Caenorhabditis elegans: one gene and its partners. The protein of the gene in region 1 purifies or fractionates together with the protein of each later gene. This does not show direct contact. Each region holds a gene or a part of one and is shown on either strand. Other genes may lie near its edges.

Region 1 (3,129 bases):
TTTACAGTCATTACGAGTAAGGCTTTCGATAAATTATTTTTGAATTAAACAGATATCTTGACTCGCTTGGCATTTGGCTCCGGTTTCTTGCTCAGGCGCGGCTCAAAAAATATTTTTTGGCACGTTATCCCAGAGTTCAGCTTTTGCCCAAGTTTGGCCAACTTCTGATTCGCGTTAATAATTTCTGGGCCAAACTAGGGCGAGAAACTGGAGCCAAATGACGAGCGCCTCTATTTTTTGCGACACTTGTGCTCTATAATTTCTCAATTTATTGAATCTCAAATATGTTTTGAAACCGCAAAAATATAGTTACTGCTTCTAAGAGCAAAATACAATGGCTTCATTCAGCGGCTTTTCGTAAGCTTCCAGTTTTTACTGCCAAGTCTTTACTGAAAAGTCAGCAAAAAGAATTAAACCATTGTATGTTATGCTCTTTCCCTTCTAACAATCCAACCAACAAACAATCCCGAGTTTTCCCGAGCCACTATAAAAATTTAAAGTTTCTCGGAAACTTTTTATTTTACCCAAACATCTGGAGGATCATTCATCAAAATTACTTGTTTGTCATGATTTTATCTGAATTTTTATGCTCAAGCACATCTGGTGTCAGAGACAAATTAAAGGTTGTATGTTCAAAAATAATACTATATGTTGTAAAGCATTAGAAAAGTAGTGGAAAGTGAAGGGTTTTCAGAATATTTTAAGGGTGTGGGGGATGAACAATGTACATGGTATAGAGCAAGGAAAATTTAAAAGTCAATAATTCCGAAGAGATGATTTCCAACGTCAGATTTATTTGTTGAGTAGAACAACTGATGGAAGTATGTGTTCCAGGTCTCTGGCTTCATTTGTGGAACGTATTGACCTTTCTTGTCCTGAAATAATTCCTTTTAAATTAATCAAAAAAATATTTAAATCCCACCACTGAAAACTTATGGAAAGCTGCATCACACTCGGATTGATCAAATCCATATGTACTCATTCCATCGGTATACTCGGCAAGATCCATGACTCCATCACAGGAAACATCAAAAAGTTTGAACATAAAGTTCTGATAGTCCTTGAACCATTTTGGTTCAGTCTTCGCATCGGTCTTCTTCAAAAGTCCGATCCATTCATCAATCGAGATCAATTGATCCTTATCAGCATCAGCAATGGAGCACAGTCCTTCCCAGAGAGCAGCAAGAGATTTCTTGGCAAAGCCAGTTTGAACTGATTCAGCTCCGTAAATGTCACGGACTTTCTGGAAGGTTAAAAGAAAATAATAGAATTTAGAATTCTAAAAATAATTCTCACCTTGACAACCAAGTAAAAATCTCCCCAATCGACTTGATGAGAAGCATTTCTATCTGAAACATATAATTGAAAGTAAAAAAGAGTGGGAAAACTAACCAAAAAATAGTGAGAAAATGCGTTCCCACTTCTTGACAAGGAACGGATCAACATCGGAATGTTTCTTGATAAGATCTTCAATGGAAACTGCTGCTGTAGGCTTTGCAACAACCATTTCTGAAAGTATAAGATTTGACTGAAAATTATAAAATTATGAACTTGAGAAAGTCTAGAAATCAAGAAAAAATATCTAGAAATGAACATTCCATGGGTTGTGAAGATGCTTTTATCTCACTTTAGAATGTCTGACTCCGCCCCTCTGTGTACGAATTGAAGTGCTCTTTTGTGATGATCATAGCTCCTCCTTGCGGCGACGCCCGCACACAGCACGAGATATTACACGGAATACTTATGTGATTCATAGGAAACAAGGAAATCGAAAAAATAATAGGATTTTGAGGAGGTATTTTTAGATGAATGCTTATGATGTTATGATGAACCCAAGAAATTCTGAATAGACATATGTCAGAACGGGGTAGGAGCTCCAGTGTCGCTTTTGAAATAAAAAATCAAGTGGTATACTTCTCGTATATACCCTTCTGAACTAATAAAATAATTTATCTTTTGAAAAAGTTTGAAAAAGAAAAATGCCCAAAACTTGAATTTTAATGTTTTGTATTTTGAGCATATCGTTCAAACGTCGTGATCTGAAAGTAGAAAGATCTAAATATTCGTGACACAGTTTGGTTTGAAGGTCTTAGTGGTAATTTTTTATTACAGAAGCAACAAAAAGTTGACATATTTTCAGAATTTCCAAAAAAACGTTTAAAATTTCAATTTCTTCGATAGAGTTCTAAAAATTTTTTGGAACGGATTTTGTAATATCCGCTGATAACCGTTCAAGAACAATTTGAATTTTGAAATAATTTAATCAACTAGTATCCAGTGCTCTTTCTCACTGCTCCACCCATTTTTCAACCCATTTCCTTTACTCAATTTCGCCCGTTTTCCTTTTGCTCAAATGTGCCCACCAAATCATCTTTCTTCGTCTTCTTTTCTCTTATTCGGAAGGAGAAGAGGTGAAAGTAGAATACGTTTTTTTGTTGAAAAGAGAAGAGCACTGCCACTTTTCTCTTATTTCCATCCTTCTACTACCTCGTTTTACTTTCCATTTAAAAACCCGTTTAAAGTTCCAAAATTTCAATTATCTTGCTTCTGTTTGGAACACGACAAACTTTAGTTTTGTTACAGATATGTTCCGAATATCAGTTATATTTATTTGGATATTTTTACAATTGGGATACACAATAGACTATAAAGTATCAGTTTTAATTGTTTCTGAGCCGAATCAAGAAACTTTCAAAGAATTGAAAGTTTCCGTTACGGTAAGTTTTGAAATTTTTACTTTAAAAACTTACAAACTCGGCATTATAGAAGAAGCTCCAAACTTTTAAATTAGCATATTCATATTCACAAAATATCATATTTTCAACTTTTCTTCTTAATTTCTTTCAGGCGGCATTCGTGGAAGTTTTTGGAAGCACATCATATCACTTGGGGAATGACACTATTTCCGCAGCTTTTGTAGATGCAAAAAGGTTTTCGAAATTATTATTTGTTGAGCTTTTCCCCCGAGAAAGACATTTCTTATATTCAGTGGAGATAATCGTCTGGAATTGACTCAGGATATTGTGTGCAGCCAGATGCTCAATCACTCATTGGCTTCTGTTATATTTTCTCCATTACTGACATCATCTTCAAGATTTATTGATTTGGTTACATCATCAGCATATACAC
Region 2 (5,240 bases), on another chromosome or scaffold:
ATGTGATCACTGGCAAAGATTTCAGGTCAATCCTTACAGTTTGCAGCAATTTGTAAAAACATTTGTTAAAAAACGCTTCTGGTCGAATGTCTGCTACTGGTGGTGATCATATTGATCAAATGAATATGAGTACCTACGCGACTGGAGCACCAGGTTCAGATCTTCCGGACACTCATGATGACAATAAAGTAAGTGTGAAATGCAGAAGAATTATTAGTTTTTTTTTTCAATGTTCTGGAATCCTGGAATTGTCCGTAGTTGTAGTTGTACGAAATTTGAATTGTTCCGCGTCCAAAATAGCATCCTCTATGGGAAGCAACAGTGTTTGAAATTGTTGAATTTGAGCATGGATAGAAATAAGTTATTTGATCAGAAGCAGAACAATAAAGACCAGAAGATGCACATGAGTTTCCGTCGGCTGGAGTATAACCAGGAGTTTTAGGGTCCAAAAAGCTACTTGTTGGTCCTCTTTCAAACCAGTTATAAAATCCTCCACGGTAGAAACAGTTTGATGCATCTTGATCGGACTGATGTCTGAAATTCATCAATTTTGAAGTTTCTTGAATAGCATGGGCAAAGAAAGCCGTCAAATCTCGTTTCTTATTTTCATGCAGTATATACATCTGCAAAAATATGAAATAATCTCGAAATGTGGCAATACTTGAATTTTGAAGAAAAAATATTTACATACAGTATTGTTGACATTGATCGAAGTTCCAAATTCTGGAAAGTATCTGGATGCAATTTTGAAAACATCGTAAGAATATGGCCAGCAACTCGAAGGACCCCATCCAAGATTGGCAAATGGGAACAGGTCTTCAAACATTTCTCTCGTGAACCAGCATTCTAGTTTTGAAGCAGGAAGATTATTTGGATCCGTTGGCGGAGTGCATGATTTCGGAGGTCCATTGCCGCTTTTGGACACAATCTACCATTTCGAAAACGATATGCATACACAATAGAACAGTCTATAAAAGTGAAATTCGCATAAGTTTCTGCTTTAAAAGCTTACACGATATAAAAACAGCTATGAGTACGGAATTGATGATAATCATAATATTCAATCAACATTTGAATGTGTTCAAGTTTTGTTTAAGTACTTTTTATTTATTTTATTATTCAAAACACACATTGACGATGCATCAATTTTTAAACTTGTATAGTCGCTATAACATAGCACATTTGGCAATTATGAAAACAATTATTAAATAACACATTTTTTCAGATTGACAAATTGAAATTTTCAAACGCATGTAACCACTTTTTTCAGCGATTGATCTGCAAAGGATTCCCAGTATACACAAAAAAGTCATATTGATGGGGTTTAAAGAGAGCTCGGAGTAAAAAATCTCGAAGGCACAAATCTTCCCATATTTTGTCCAGCTGATTCAAGAAAAACTGTTTGATTCAAAGTTTGAATAATTTTTTTAAAACTCCTACTGAATTCTAAATGTCTTTAATTACTTTTCAAGATATTCATAATTCCGATATTTAACCAATAAATCTCAAGATCATTGATTTCCCACAACACGCTGTCACCACCTACACGTGTTCACCAGAAAGTCGTTTCCCAGATCGAAATTTAACAGTGTGCAAACTTCTTTCGCCGCGCTACTCCACTTGTTGCTCATCCATCTTTTCCGCTTCTTCTCATCCTCATTTTCACTCCCCCACTTGTGTTGTTTCCTCATTTCTTTCCACCAGAGCCTAGAGAAGAAGATATTTCTCGCCGTTTGTCCAGGTGTACAACAATCAACGCTTCAAGATGGTGGTCAGTTTTTTTTTCAATTTTCAAATACTTTTATCTAAACTTATATAGTGAATACACAAGAATTACACAAATCTGATTCCGTAATTGTAAAAATATGCAATTGTTACAGAGAGTAAAGTTTGGAAAAGAACAGTATGAAGCTATCAAGAAATTTGAAGTTCAGCATCACGGAGATTTCTGGAAGTTGATTATGGATAAAGTAAGTTTGATTTTAAACTTGATACTAAATCTTACAACGTATTATCCAAATAAACATACCATGTCACGGTTTTTTTAGACTTTAATTTTTTCTTTATACAATAGATTTTTAAAGGTATTATGTATAGTATTTTTTGTTACTTTTATGAAATACTCACAAAAAGAAGTAATCATAAAATAGTAATTTTTCGCTAGAAGTCACAGGTTTCTATTGGATCTTCGATGCCTTGGCGTCTAGAGCCACTAGTGCTTTGGGGCCTAGATAGAACTAAAAGTTTTACAAAGTTTTATTCTCGAATAAAATGGTTCAAATGCAATTTCTAACACACGTAAATTTTTAACCCAAAAATAAGTCTACTTTTTCAGATGGGAAAATCCGATGGTCTTTCAATCTTGGACGTCTCAGAGGAAGCTTGTTTATTTGCTTTGACTTTGGCTGAAAATCACCCAACCAACAAGTAAGCATGGGCAATAAAAGAATGGAATTAGAATATAGGTTTGTTTTCAGGCTAACAATTATGACATCGAGTGTAAGACCAACTTTCGATTTTCCTGTCAATGTCCAATATCACAAAGGGAGCATCCTGAGAAATGCCGATTCAATCGCCCAGGTGTGTTCGGAAGCGTTCTTTTTAGTTATTGAATCTCAAAGAACCAATCACATAAAAATCAAGTTAATGTGACCTATCAAATAATTGATAGAATATCGAAAGATCTGGGTTGATTGGTGTAAGTGTGTGCGTGCAGATGTGTGAGTTGCCATCTGTTATGTAACAACACATGCTCATTTTTTCTTCTCTGGAGCCGCCAAAACAGCGAAAAAGACCCGTGGTGACAAGATAATTGTGTCGTGAACCTTCGATCAGAAGATTTTTGAAGTTTACTCAGAGCCTTTTCGTTTTTTGAGGCGACGAATAAGATGGCGGATTGAATTACACGGTCTAGAGTTGAAGATGAAAAAAGCCCGCATGAAACACTCGTTAAATTAGAAGATACCGGGGTAAAGGAGACAGAGACGTTTGACCAAAAATCACTTGAATTACGTACTCCGTTGGCTTTTGACACTACTTCAAAATATATCTTAAAGTTGACAAACATTGTTTACAATTGTCAAAAACTTTTGAAAAACTCTATTATCTACAAAACGATTGATCGAAAGTTTTAGATGTTTTTCAAAAATGATAGAATGTTTAAAACTGTGAATGAATTGATAACAGCAATTAAAGATACCGTTCATTAAAAAAAACAGTTTTGTGTAAATACTTATGTATTTCAACATATGTTTAGTAATAAATTTCTAAAGGTATTGTCAATCCAAGAAATATTTTGTGCCACCTATCCTTGGAAAAATTTAAAAAAAATTATAGCAATTTCTTTTTTAAAAAATTCATGTGTTTTTTTTATTAATTTTTATATTAATCTTTAATTTTTATTACAATTCACGAATCAATCATTGAAACAATGATGTGTTAGAGTTCTACATATTAAAAAAGAAGTTGGTATTTTCGAAAGTCAACAATTATTCCTCTCCCTTTGTAGATTTTAGAAATTACTTTCAACGAATCCGTCTGATCATTTTGTAAGTGTTGAACAATTAAAAAATATTATTCACGAGTTCATGCTACAGAGTTTCTCACGCCTCCGAACAACTTGTTGCCGAACTAGTTCTACTTATATCTTTCTCAAAAATAAAAACTTCCGCCTAAAATACAATTTATTTTCAGAGTGGTCCCTTTGATCTCATTATTTTCAACGAGATTTCACACGATATTGGAGATATTGATGGATTGTTCAAAAAGCTGAAAACTCTTCTTAAAGGTTGATCGAATTCGGACGATACTTGAAGAAAATTGTTATTAACTTTTAGATGGAGGTCAAATAGTTCTCTTTTCTCGCCCCAAGAATCCACCATTGCCAGTTCCCGATATATGTCTCATGCTTTGGAGAAAACTTGCAGCTACTAAAGAGGAATTGCTTGCATCAGCAAACGCCGTAAGTGATTATTCAGCTGACTTTTTTGACTACTTAGACTTGGATTCCCACGGATCATGGGAAGATCAGTCATCAGACTAGATTACTGAGTATGATCGAAATGTTTTTGAAGCATCTCGTGATCTCAATTAAAACACAGATGGAGTACTTAGTCAGTAAGAATATAAAATTCCAGGAATTACGAGGAAATTTGATTTTAAAACACTTCCGTCAAAACCTATGCCAGTCCATTTCAGATCATAATCATCAATAAACCAACATTGTATGATTTCTAAATATGCTTGAATGTAACCAAAATTTCATTAAAAATCAAAAAGTCAAAAATAATTTAATAATATTAGTCAGCATAAACCTTTGCCAGAAATTGTTAATTAACTCTCAGTCAGCTGTCATGAATTCCCAGTTGAACCTTTTTTTTTAATAGGAATTTGGGAAAGTATTCCAAAAAAAAAAACCAATTTCAGGCTCAACTCAATTCTACATGCTTCTCTGCAGCCGTTCCAATTTCTGTCGACAAGGTTCAATGGGAGAATATTTTGTATTCCGGTTGCTTCCCAGCCGTCAAGAACACCCCAAAATGTGATGAACGTACTATTCGTGATTTCTGTGTTTCAAAGTCTGGAAAATTCGAATTCGAGGAGAAACTTTTGATCGTTATGTTACGTAAATAATTATTTGATTTTGTTATTGAATGTTTGTCTGCAGGGTTCACTTTCCCTAGTTGGTCCAATGATTGGATTTTATGAATAAACTCACGTACTCTGATCTTCTCTTTTGGTAGAAAAAGTTGCATTTTGCACGACACAATCCTGTGAAAAAACGGAAAAGTTTTCAGATTTCTGTATTCTGTTCCTTGTTTCATTCATTGATTCTATTAAAATGTTCGATCATTTGGATCTTAATTTACTTCCACTTGCGATCTTCTTTATTTTTTGTTCAACTATTGGAGTGATTGGAAATTTAATTATGATAATATGCTGCTCTGTTACAAAGTAAGTGTGGAATTTAATAATTACTGGGCATATTAAATACCGGCACTATAAAATAATTTAATTTTCAGAAGACTTCATTCTCCTTGTTATTTTTTAATATCACTAACATGCCTAATTGATGCATTTCATATTAGTGGGCAATTTCCATTCCTCATTGAATATTTCACAGGAAGTTGGTTGAATTGAATATATTCTAACTTTTTTTCAAACTTCCAGTCACATCGAGTCAATCAGAATGCTATTTTATTCTGATTCTTCCAATCGTTGGATATTGTGCAGGTGGTCCA
Region 3 (6,426 bases), on another chromosome or scaffold:
AGTGAGTTGTAGATTTTTGAATTTATGTTGATCAAAAATATCAATAATATATAGTACAAAAAATCGGTTCAAAACAACAAGTCTCTTTCCCGGAAATTTCACTTTATTTTCAATGTTCCAATTTCAGTGGCGGCAAAGAAGACCAAAAGTGATGGTGTCAAATCTACGAAATTCGAATTTGTATTTGAAAATATCGCCGAAGAACTCATGTTTCCCTCTGAAAACGAGCTGAACACAATTAGTGATGTTGGTTCGGAATGTGACCTGGACATTGATGATGATTTACCTAATGTACCGGAAGAGCACCCAGGACTAGAAGTTGCATCTATTTCTCAAGTTGTTTCAAGTCCAGATCCTACCATATTCGCCACTGCTGAATCTGGGTTACCTCGAAGGCATGAACATCGATTTCAGATTTTGAGAAGAACACTGAATAAGGTATCTTCCGCTGACGGGCATTCTTCCGGAAATAGGTAGTTAATTTCAATGTTTTTCGAATAATTGCGAAGCATAGCATTTAACATTCAATGTAAATAAAAACATTTTTCATTTATTAGTAGTACATGGGACAACATATTCAATTTATACATGGAAATTATCATTAAGTACATTTCAAAAAGTCTGGAATGTTTTGCAACTGGAGAACCTGCTTTGAGTTCATATCGTAGTCGGAGACCTAAATTTCTCCATTGTCTAAATTTAAAGTTTAAAACGGTTACCGTAGCCTCATCAAACATATAATATGCATCAGTGAACCCTTGAGTCTTTTCAATTCCACTTTTGATATCTTCTGGCAAATTTGGGAAATATCGATTTTTGTCGTTCAAGAATGATGGAGCATTCTGTTGCACATTGTAGGTAGCAAACACGTTACCCTGTAAGTAGACGGATGTTATTGAGTTTTTGATAAGTAGCCTCAATGAGCAATAATTATTACAATCTTAAAGAAAAAATACTTTTTTTTGTGGTTGTATAACCTGAAAACTAAAACGAAATAAAAAAACATACCGACAAAAGAATGACACTCCCATTATTCAGTGGGAATGCTCCCTGTGGGTAGAAGAGAACACGATCGTGAAGTTCTTTTGGATAATTTGGAGCTTCCCTGAAAATACTTCACAAGTTTAGAAAAAAAAGTTTTGTATATTAAGAGCCGCGAAAATAGTGAGATATGTATACAAACCGTATCCTTTTTAATTTTAGATCGACTTTTTTTTACATATCAGAATGCTCCGGTACCTCTTAATTTCACGTAGAAACCTATTTAAAAGGTCATTTTTCAAATTAAATATGTTTCCTTTTAAAATGCACAGGTTTTTCATGAATAAATTGACAATAAAAAGTGTACTTACGTAAACTGCACTCCATCGTATTCATATCCATAAATAGTTCGTTCCACGAACAAAAGAGTCAATGGTCCAGATGACACAGTGGCGTTGACAAATTGTGGGCCACGTGGGAACACTTGTTGAATTGGGCGACCCGAGTCAACGAACTTTCGATTGTTGAGTTTGTACACTTTGTTGGAACGGAAGAAGAGCCATTCTTGGTCGTTTACTGAAACATTCACACTGTTTCACAGAATTTCATTTCAATATTCACTCGAAAACAAATAAAAAAATAAAACACACTAGCAACAACAGAGTCAAGATGCTTTGGGCATTTTGAACGATCAACATCTGACGACGGAGTTGAATGATCGACGGATGAAAGTCCTGAAATATGAGAAAAGATTGTTGATTTCTCAGGGTACATCTGGGTGCACATCACATGCTTCCGGTCAAAGATATTTGAAATATTTTACAAAGTATTCAAAATTCAGTGTATTTTCATTTAAAAAAATGTATTATGTTGTAATTTTTCAATATGTGATTTTAAAAAAAATTATTCGCAGCAGGAGCACATGTGGAGCACAGATGTTTAGAGATTTTTAAAGCGCCTTAAGCACCTTAATCCCCGAAAACTAGAAATAGCTGGGCAATATTTGAATTACCACGTGGTTACTTTAAAAATTTTGGAAGTCATTTTTTTAGTTTTATTGTTTATTACTTCAGAAGTTTGAATTTAAAAATCTTGAACCCTATCAACAAACCTTCATTTCCAACTGAATTATCTTCAGCAGTATCCGTATCAACCTCAATACCCGGTGGACCGGCTATAGCACAGAGAACATATGAAAAAATAAGAAGAACAGAAGATAAATTGAAGTTCATTTCAAGCTCCTAAGACTGAGAGCAAAAGTCTTGGCAAATTGAAATGAAAGTGAAAAGAGAAGGAATAAAGGGAAGAGTTGAGATGTGCAGCTGTTCTTCACAAGATGGTCACAAAAAACCGCAAAATTTCGGCGGCGGTTGACGTAGGAAAGATTGGACAAAACACTTTATTTTAAAAATTTTTCAAAGAACTAGGCAATAAGGATTTGAATCTATATTTTACAAAAAGTTGGTCACTAGAACCCATTACACTTTTTAGTAGATCTTGTCGGATATAATATATTGTGACTCAATAACCAGATGATATGATGACTCACCATAAATCTTTCGAATCGCTAGACGATCAACATTTGGAACTGTGTCAACTGTACCGTGGGGGAGGAGGACTGGCTTGAAAATTGGGTGCATGATAGATCTGAAAAATTTTTCTTTTTGTAAACTAAACTTTATTTTACTAAATTATTATTAAACTAAACTTTTTTATTTTATATTAAACTATTTATATTAAACTTTTTTATATTAAACTTTTATATTGTTTATATTAAACTAAACTAAGCTTCGCATTGAATTTCTAAAATTAAATTCAAGATGTTGTTAAGTTATAAATTGTTTAGGTGCTTTTTTTTCACAATTTACGAAGCTTGTAGAATTTCTTTGTAGAGTTTGTATATTTTTAGGGTATTTGGGAGTAGGTAAACATTTGGGCTTATTTTGAAAATTTCTATGCAACAAAAATCATATCAGATTTGCTACAAAAATTTAAATGTCTGTCATTATAACCACTTACCCTCTATAAAAAGTGTGTGGCAAACCCAAAATGTGTCCAATTTCGTGAAGAAGCGTATGATAAAGAGAGATTCCCATTGGGGCTTGTGACTTGTATGCCCATTCCTGATTTTTATCAAGAATGATATGACTGTTCACTGGTTTTGATGCACTTCCAGCAACTGAAATTACAGTATAAAATATATAGAATTATATAAGGAAAATCTACTTCTCAAATTGCTTTGTGGGACATCGTAGAAGGTGATTGTTATATCTGGGGTTGCTCCAGTTGTTTCCACAAATTTGAAACCACTGGCTCTGGTCCATTGTTCAAATGCTTCATGGGCGGCAGATCTGAAATATTTTTAGGATTTGTTTTTTCAAATTTTTAGCTAACCTTATTTGTGCTTGAGAAAGAGTATTTGGAGTGTTTACCACTTTGTAGGTCAGTGATTTCTTCGTCCATAACTCTTTTTTCGAAGCTGCTGAAATTAAGCTGTGAATTAAAAAGAACTAGAGGAGCCCTCGTAGAGTATAGAATTCAAATAAAATGTTTTGTAGCCGACACCTTCTAGGTGCTACCTCCATCAGATTTTGACACTATAAGAAATGCGGAACCATCGAGGCGTCTCGCGCTTCATTGAATTTACCTACTAAAATATTTTAAATCTGTTATTCTCACGTGGAATTGGTTGTCCCTTATCCATATCATTATTAGCACATCTCCATTCGTTCATTTTTGCTTGAGTTGGAACATCAACATCTCCTGATGAATAATAGAGGAATGCAGATTGGAAGCGACTAAACAACTTTTTCAAAAAAGTTACATTTACAATTAGTACTTACATAAGAGCATCTTTTGTCTGTTTTTCACTTGGCTCTTGAATTGTTTTTACATTTTGGTGTGGTTCAGGAATCATGTAACCGAATTTGAAGAGATATACCTGAAAATCTCTCAGTTACAAACTTCATTCAGTCATTTTTTAAGAAACTTTCTTCAGAAGAGTTTCTATAATTAAACTGTTTGTATGTATTGTGAAACTGATGAAAACAAAAAATTTTCAACATCACACTGACAAAGTAGCTGTTGAATAATTTATTCAAAACTTTTTTCTAAAATTTCAATTTCAATGTTTAATTTCAATGTATTTCGTTGCAGTTGAATTCTCCTTTTTTTTAATTTTCTATTTAATTTTATTTCTCTTTTGGAGGCATTTTCCGGGCGAACGAAGGATGAGAGAAAAAATAAAAGCGAAAGGCAGAATCACTTCCTCACTTTTAAAACTGCTCAAACTGCTACATACCTTGGCTTCATCCATGAGCTCTTTCTGAAAATTTGGCTGACGAATATCTCCATTTGTGCCTGGAATTCCAGCAGAAACCACTCCAATAATACCCAATAAAAACAAAGGCCACATTGAATGACCTGAACTTAGAAAAATAATCATAAAAAACAAAAGGAAGAAAAAATAGGTAAAAACAACGGAAAAGTGTCGCATGTGAACAGGTTTTTCCAACTTAAAATAAATTGATCTTTTCATTCAAAGTAAATAGAAAAATCGAAGAGGTAATCGAAACAAAAACAGTTGGAAAAACTATCAAATGATGAAGAAAATAAGAAAATTGGATTCGATCTTTTTTCTCTTGGTCATCTCGCCGAACTTGGTAAGATTGTGATATGGGTTAGAACAGAAAAAAGGAAGGGGAAAAATGACAAAATGATTGAGTGAGTGATATCATTTCTGTTAATCATATAGATCGAAGATCACTAAATTTTAAAATGGGAGACTTAATACAAATAATATTAGTTTTCTGCATAATTGGATGCTGTTCTGCTGTCGTAACCTTTTGATTTTTCAATTCTCAGAATTCTTCGCATGTTCGAGTCAAATGCCAGAAGGATGTACGGCATGGCTAGAGTTACCTGAAAAAAAAAGAACTCCAACAAGCGAACTTAATAAAGAAAGTTCAAGACTTATTCTTTGACATTCTCCTTGTTTTTCTGTTCTGGCGGTGGAAAATATTTTAAAATTTTTGAAATCTTAAACCTAAGCAAGCTTCAACTGAATACACACAATATCCAGATTCAACTTCCCGCTTGAATCGACCAATCAGCTGGAGAGGGTCGAATTTACTTTGCGGGCAGATTAAATTGATGTTGGTATAACCTACCATATCCGATGTAAATGTTACAGCAATTGTTTGTATTTTCATAATAACTGTTCGAAAAGGGCAAATAACGTACATCACACTGGTGGCAATCTGAAAACCAACTAAAAATATTTTAAACCTGAAATCTGTTGAATACCAAAAGCAATAAATTTCCAGACATCAAAAAACTGTTACAAAATATGACACGTGTTAATTTTTTAATAAAGTGATTATGTCTTCTCGAATGACTCTTTTTCCATCTGTTCTCTAAGAGTACAGTAGTCCAAACACCAATTAATATAATTAAAAGAAAATAAAATGCAGAGAAATATGGATTTATAGATGCTTGAGTTAAAAGTGCTCTCTGAAATTACCAGATATTAGGAAATGTTATTTTATTCACTGAAAAAAACCTGATTAACTATTTTAATAAGTTTCCCATCAATAATTCTAACTCTAGTAACATAATTTTGAAAAAGCCACCATGGGGAAATAATAATAAAAGAATATAACAGTCCGAGAACTGGAACTAAAAAATACCAGCGATTCCATACCTGAAAATTAATCGCAAAATATTATTAGAGTATAAAGTATTAGAGTAGAATTTCCAGTCTGCATACCTTTTCAGAATTTATTGAGTAAACTGATGTGAAGCGATAAATAACTAGAAATAATCCCGTAACATTTTGCAAGTGGAAGTATCTGAAAATGAATAATAATAATATTTTTTTAAAATATGATATATATCTTACAATGAAACAAAAAGCTTTGACAGTGTGAGGCATCCTGGAAGAGAAGATTCTAGAAAAATAAGGAAAGTTCGTCCGATTTCGAAGTATTCCAAGCGGATAGCTAACCAACTATTGATGTAACATGTAATATTCTGGAAGTTTATCGTTTGAATAAAGTCTGAAACTATTGGAAACATTATTTCCTAAATTGGAGTTTTTCAAAAAAACGAAACCTGATAGTGGCATTATTTAAATTTATAGATTAAAAAGTGCCAAAAAAACTATAATAATTTTGCTAATCGACCTAAATTTCGTGTTTTTCCTGAATTTTATACATATTTGTTTTTTTAAATTGTATAGCTTTAAACACGCAAAACAATATTTTAAAGAAAGGAACCGAAATTTTTCAAATTTGGCACTTGAAATTAAATTACCAATTTCTTGCGAGGGATTTTTATTTTAAAAATTTCAGTGTAGTTATTCATTTGTCAATACCAGAGTAAGTTTGGAAACATGTACTACATTTTTCAGTATCTTCTCTAGCCACTTTCCCCAAACACACTTCA
Region 4 (4,676 bases), on another chromosome or scaffold:
AGATAATACTCTTTTTTTTATCTTCAGACTCTTTTTTTTTTTGAAAATGTATTTTTACAGTGTGGAGTTATTATACACAAGTTCTGTTTTTTTTGCTCACGCTCAAAACATGAACAAATTATTTTTGTTATTTTTGGAGTTTTCAAAATTGCATTTTCCGTTTAAAAATCAAATCCCAAAACGTTAGTGTTACTTACCATGTTTCACAATTCAAGAGAAACCAATGAATCAACGAAAATAAAAAGCGAGTGATTCAAACAACTGCAGAGCGATGGCCACTAAATACAAACACCTTGATAAGGCAGTGGGCAGAACAAGTAATCGAGTCAGTATCAGATATTAGGAGACGCACAGAAAACATGCACGGGGGGCATTTGCCGGGTCTGCCTTATTGATCGCGTCCTCTGATTTGTTCGATGTTGCGTCGCTCTCGTGCATCTAAACATCTAAACTAACCACGTGCATTTATCGCGAGACCATGGTCTTTTTACAAATCAGGGCTAATTGTGTCCTTGGTCATTGTTTATTTCGGTGGAAAGTGACAATAAAAAGAAAATACAAATTGAAAAGATTAGATTAAAAAAAGGTATGAAGAGGACTTCAAGTTCCAGAACGTCACAACAAATTTTAAAGAGTAAAAAGTCAAACCAAAAAGCACATTATAAATAGTTCATTCGCAAATGATGTGGTGGAAGTGGGTGCTTGAAGTTCACTCATCATCGTCATCCTGAAAAGTAGGTTCTGTGAAATACAACACTTACAAATATTTTTAACATATTTTCAATCGATTTTGTGTGAGGCACACTATAGTTGCAGAACAACTTTACATTCGGTGTAAATAATGAAGACAATGTCCATGAAATTTGCTTGTTTCGTAGAGTTTATCGCTCAATGAATTTTTGAAGTTCTTTGAGTCGATAACGTGCTATCGGTGTCTTTTGTAATTTTTGAAATAAACTCTGGTGCATCAGTATCAACCCCACACGCAAAACAAACTGTTTGGCACTATCCACGCTTAGGCCAGAACATCAAAAAACCTGCACAAACTTAGTGTCGCAAAAGGAAAGCTATTTTACCTTTTGTCCAAGACGTCGTCTCTTAGCCTGCTCAAATGTGTTACGGATGAGCATGGCAACAGTCATTGGTCCAACGCCTCCGGGGACAGGTGTGAGGAATCCGGCGACTTCCTTTGCGGCTTCTGTGTCAACATCTCCGTAAATTTTGCGTGAGTTTGGGTCGTCACCAACGTTGATTCCACAGTCGATGACGAATGCGCCAGGCTTGATCCAATCAGCTGAAATATATGCTTTTATTTGTAAAAAACGCTGACACTTATCAGAACAGAGAGTCTGTTTCTATTTGATGCAAAACAATTCAGAAGTTGCAAACAGTCAGGTGCATACTAAACATTGATAGTTCTTAAATTGGGGTTTCTATTATAGATATTTTGCATAATTTAATGACTTACAAACTTTTAGGTTAGCAAGTAAATACCGTGCTGCTCATATAAAGGTCTACTCGTAATAACTTTTGCCAAGATTCTTCTTTTAAATGGATTTGGGCGTAATTATGAAAAAAGCAACGCGAAATTTGTTCAATGATGAATTCCAAAAAATCAGGATATAAAAACTTTCACTATTTTACTATAGTCAGATCTCAGCTCGGAATAACCACGTTTGCTGAAGTTGAAATCAATCTTTTGATATCTGTATGGCCAGTACTGTGCACTATCTCAAATTTAGGTTTATTGATAATCTACCTTTGACGAAATGTTTTCTCCCAATTGCCACAATCAAAATATCTGCTCTCAGGCATTTCTCCTTGAGATTTGGAGTTTTTGAGTGGCAGATTGTCACAGTTCCATGATGCCACAAGAAAAGCGCAGCGGCTGGAGATCCGACAATTTTCGAGCGTCCCAAAACAACCACCTCCTTTCCAGACACAAAGTTGGCATCACCAGTTGCCTGTTGAACCAAGTACAAGCATCCAAACGGAGTGCAAGGAAAGATCGTACGCTGGAGTTCTCCACGAGCCAAACGTCCAGCATTGATACGAGTCAGTCCATCGACATCTTTCAATGGGTCAATCAAGTCGATAACAGAGTCTGCGTCGATTTCGTGCTTGCAGTCCAGTGGAAGCTGAAATTAATAACTTGCTATTATTGTTTAGCTTCCGATGTTTTTTTTTAATTAACTGAGATGTGTTTTTTTTCCGTTATAAGTTAACATTTCAATATTACAACTTAATCCGTTATATTAACCTGAATGATAATTCCGTCAATCTCGTTGTCATGATTAAGAGCCATAATCTCTCGCTTCAAATCTCCTTGAGTGATGGTGTCTGGCAACTTAATGAGTTTTCCATCTGCTCCGATTTCCTTTGCTTTTTTCAGTTTGGAATTAATGTACACATTGGAGTCTGAACGATTTCCAACCTGCAAATTTTGAGACTTTGAGTTATTCAGTATAACAGATATCCCCTCGGATATTATTTGTCTTGTTACGAAATAAAAGCCGGTATCTCAAAAGTACACCACAACTACAAATTACGCTCTGCAAAACTTTCAAAATCTGTTTTGTAAGTATGCAATGCACTTATGTACGTCATGAACTCAAAACACAGATTGGACAGAGATTTTCATTTTCATATATTCAATTTAGAAATATTATTAAGTTAATAGCAATGCTTGAAATAAAATTATTATCAGTGGTAAGCTTTCATACCTGAACAATTGCCAATACTGCATGAAAATTTGGGTGGTGCTCACGGGTTTTTGCGATTTTCTGTCCGACATCGTGAAGAACCTTTTTTGAGTACTCGAGTCCACTGACGATCTCCGCGACCATTCTAAAAAATAAACAAAGTAATAATCAAGTTGAAAAATACGTCAAGAAAACAAGAAGGGGAAGAGTAAAGGAAAAGAGTACGAAACTCCTCTTGTACTTGGCTATTCATGGGAAGAGACTAGTGCAGAAGTCAGAGGACAAGCTGATTGGAAACTTAGCACATATTCACATTTCGATGGTGGGGGACAGAGTGAAAAAATAAAGCGTCGAAAAAGTTGAATATGCATAGCGGTCTGTTGTTTGTGGGGGAGTGATGAGAAGAGTTTTAAAACGGCCTGGCCTTGTTATCTTATGCTGAAGATCGCTATGATTTTATGTGTCGAGTGACTAGAGTTGCTTGTCAGCGACATTCTCATGGAAAATACATGTTCCACCGACAGTTTCGATGTCAAAGCTTCCGCATTAAACATGTTTGCTTGAAAATGAAAACAGTGTATCAAGGAACAAAATTCAATTTTTGTCACATGAAAATAATACTTTTGAAAGTTTTTGCTGCCTTATATGTTAACAATATATCAAAATAATGGACACAGTGCAGAAATGTCCAATACGAACGCGTGGCGGCGGACCATGAAAATCGATAACAGTCGGCGGCTGGCCTTGCATGCAATGCGCGCGCATAACACAGAAATCTTATCGGCATCCATACGACGCAAAATCTCTTTTTACCCAGCAATTTGCCGAGATAAAAACAATAATCATATCAACATTTTGACTACAATGGGACTGGGATCTTATCATGAAAACTTCTTACCTTGCAAATTTGAATGTGAAACTCATTATTTTTCTTATAAACTGGGAAACGTTGATTTTTAAAAAGTGTCTATTTCTATTAACCAGAAATCAAAACATGTTATTCTCAAATGTTTTTTTCAAATGATTTAAAATGAAGAAAACAAGTCTTATCAATAATGTCCTAAAACCTGCACAATCCAAATTATCGGAGCAATTGAACAGTGAAAATAATGAAGTAAATATTAAATATTAACATTTTTCAAAGGCGTACACAAAAATCATTTATTCAAAATCATTCTTCGATTTGAAAAACAACTAAATCACAGTATTTATATAAAATTTGCGAGAGATGGTGAGAAGGGATGGACAATGGGATTTCATATCATACAAAGAACATAAAATAAGATGTAACCGTTTTGGAATGTGCAACAATTATGGATTTGAATACAATTAGTTATCCTTTTTTGTGCCCTCGTCGCCACCATTGATAATCGAATCCAAAGACTCGGCTCCACGAACAAACGATTTTCTATTTCCATAATCTGCTTTTTCCGAGCTATTCTTTACCAGACGTCCAACAGTCAAGTACTTGAATTTGAACTGTGTCTCCCATTCGTTGGCGGTTTCCTGTAAAAATCAATTTAGGTTTTTTTGTTCACAATCAATCTGACCGAGGCAATATACATTTGAATTAGCTTCGATGTCATATTGATGACACAAAAAAGTTATGGTTTATGCCTGAGTTATGAATAAATACCACAAATCATAAAACAATGACTTTAAGGATTAAATGTTTATAACGAACTTTCACGTTCTTACTCATGAGAAAACTGCATAGCCTACCTGCTCGTCAGCAGAGATTCCAGTATGATCATCCCACTCGCTAGAAACAGCATTCTGGTCCATGGTTCCAAGCGCGCGGGTAGCGTCATGCCCGGCAAGTGTACCGTAGGCTTTTCCTGGTCCGTAAAATCCTTTTCCGCGAGTCACGTCATAGATAGTTCCGTTGAGTCCAAACAGAATGTGCTCATTTTTGACACCATCGTACTTGCGCAGCTCTTCAACTGTCATATCGGACATTGGCAATGGGGCGAG

What was found.
Region 2: the proteins of cex-1 (region 1) and C51E3.9 fractionate together in Caenorhabditis elegans (co-fractionation; one large-scale study listed by BioGRID). This does not show direct contact.
Region 3: the proteins of cex-1 (region 1) and zmp-4 fractionate together in Caenorhabditis elegans (co-fractionation; one large-scale study listed by BioGRID). This does not show direct contact.
Region 4: the proteins of cex-1 (region 1) and dao-3 fractionate together in Caenorhabditis elegans (co-fractionation; one large-scale study listed by BioGRID). This does not show direct contact.

The regions. Positions count from the first base shown.
Region 1 is NC_003280.10:5,446,061-5,449,189, reverse strand, and holds cex-1 (Calexcitin-1), read right to left. Parts: upstream 1,510-3,129; 5' UTR 1,508-1,509; coding exon 1,393-1,507; intron 1,350-1,392; coding exon 1,297-1,349; intron 1,244-1,296; coding exon 923-1,243; intron 876-922; coding exon 750-875; 3' UTR 556-749; downstream 1-555. Other genes in the region: nmr-1 (LITAF domain-containing protein), read left to right, coding at 2,586-2,717, 2,848-2,930, 2,990-3,129.
Region 2 is NC_003283.11:10,144,253-10,149,492, forward strand, and holds C51E3.9 (Methyltransf_11 domain-containing protein), read left to right. Parts: upstream 1-1,700; 5' UTR 1,701-1,765; coding exon 1,766-1,771; intron 1,772-1,880; coding exon 1,881-1,970; intron 1,971-2,335; coding exon 2,336-2,427; intron 2,428-2,477; coding exon 2,478-2,580; intron 2,581-3,693; coding exon 3,694-3,787; intron 3,788-3,836; coding exon 3,837-3,961; intron 3,962-4,399; exon of another isoform or gene 4,400-4,425; coding exon 4,426-4,632; 3' UTR 4,633-4,725; downstream 4,726-5,240. Other genes in the region: srsx-26 (G-protein coupled receptors family 1 profile domain-containing protein), read left to right, coding at 4,841-4,953, 5,022-5,125, 5,170-5,240.
Region 3 is NC_003283.11:14,917,206-14,923,631, forward strand, and holds zmp-4 (Peptidase metallopeptidase domain-containing protein), read right to left. Parts: upstream 4,405-6,426; 5' UTR 4,397-4,404; coding exon 4,283-4,396; intron 3,923-4,282; coding exon 3,825-3,922; intron 3,780-3,824; coding exon 3,661-3,779; intron 3,464-3,660; coding exon 3,376-3,463; intron 3,333-3,375; coding exon 3,208-3,332; intron 3,161-3,207; coding exon 3,001-3,160; intron 2,629-3,000; coding exon 2,531-2,628; intron 2,298-2,530; exon of another isoform or gene 2,214-2,297; coding exon of another isoform or gene 2,093-2,213; intron 1,716-2,092; coding exon 1,632-1,715; intron 1,558-1,631; coding exon 1,353-1,557; intron 1,106-1,352; coding exon 1,009-1,105; intron 876-1,008; coding exon 720-875; intron 677-719; coding exon 602-676; 3' UTR 530-601; downstream 1-529. Other genes in the region: H12D21.11 (uncharacterized protein), read left to right, coding at 1-1, 128-477; srg-54 (Serpentine receptor class gamma), read right to left, coding at 4,783-4,902, 5,151-5,240, 5,287-5,493, 5,543-5,683, 5,750-5,831, 5,882-6,012.
Region 4 is NC_003284.9:8,083,704-8,088,379, forward strand, and holds dao-3 (C-1-tetrahydrofolate synthase, cytoplasmic), read right to left. Parts: upstream 2,848-4,676; 5' UTR 2,847-2,847; coding exon 2,724-2,846; intron 2,435-2,723; coding exon 2,261-2,434; intron 2,139-2,260; coding exon 1,760-2,138; intron 1,295-1,759; coding exon 1,077-1,294; intron 728-1,076; coding exon 710-727; 3' UTR 507-709; downstream 1-506. Other genes in the region: K07E3.4 (formate--tetrahydrofolate ligase), read right to left, coding at 198-200; Protein vem-1, read right to left, coding at 4,032-4,208, 4,425-4,676.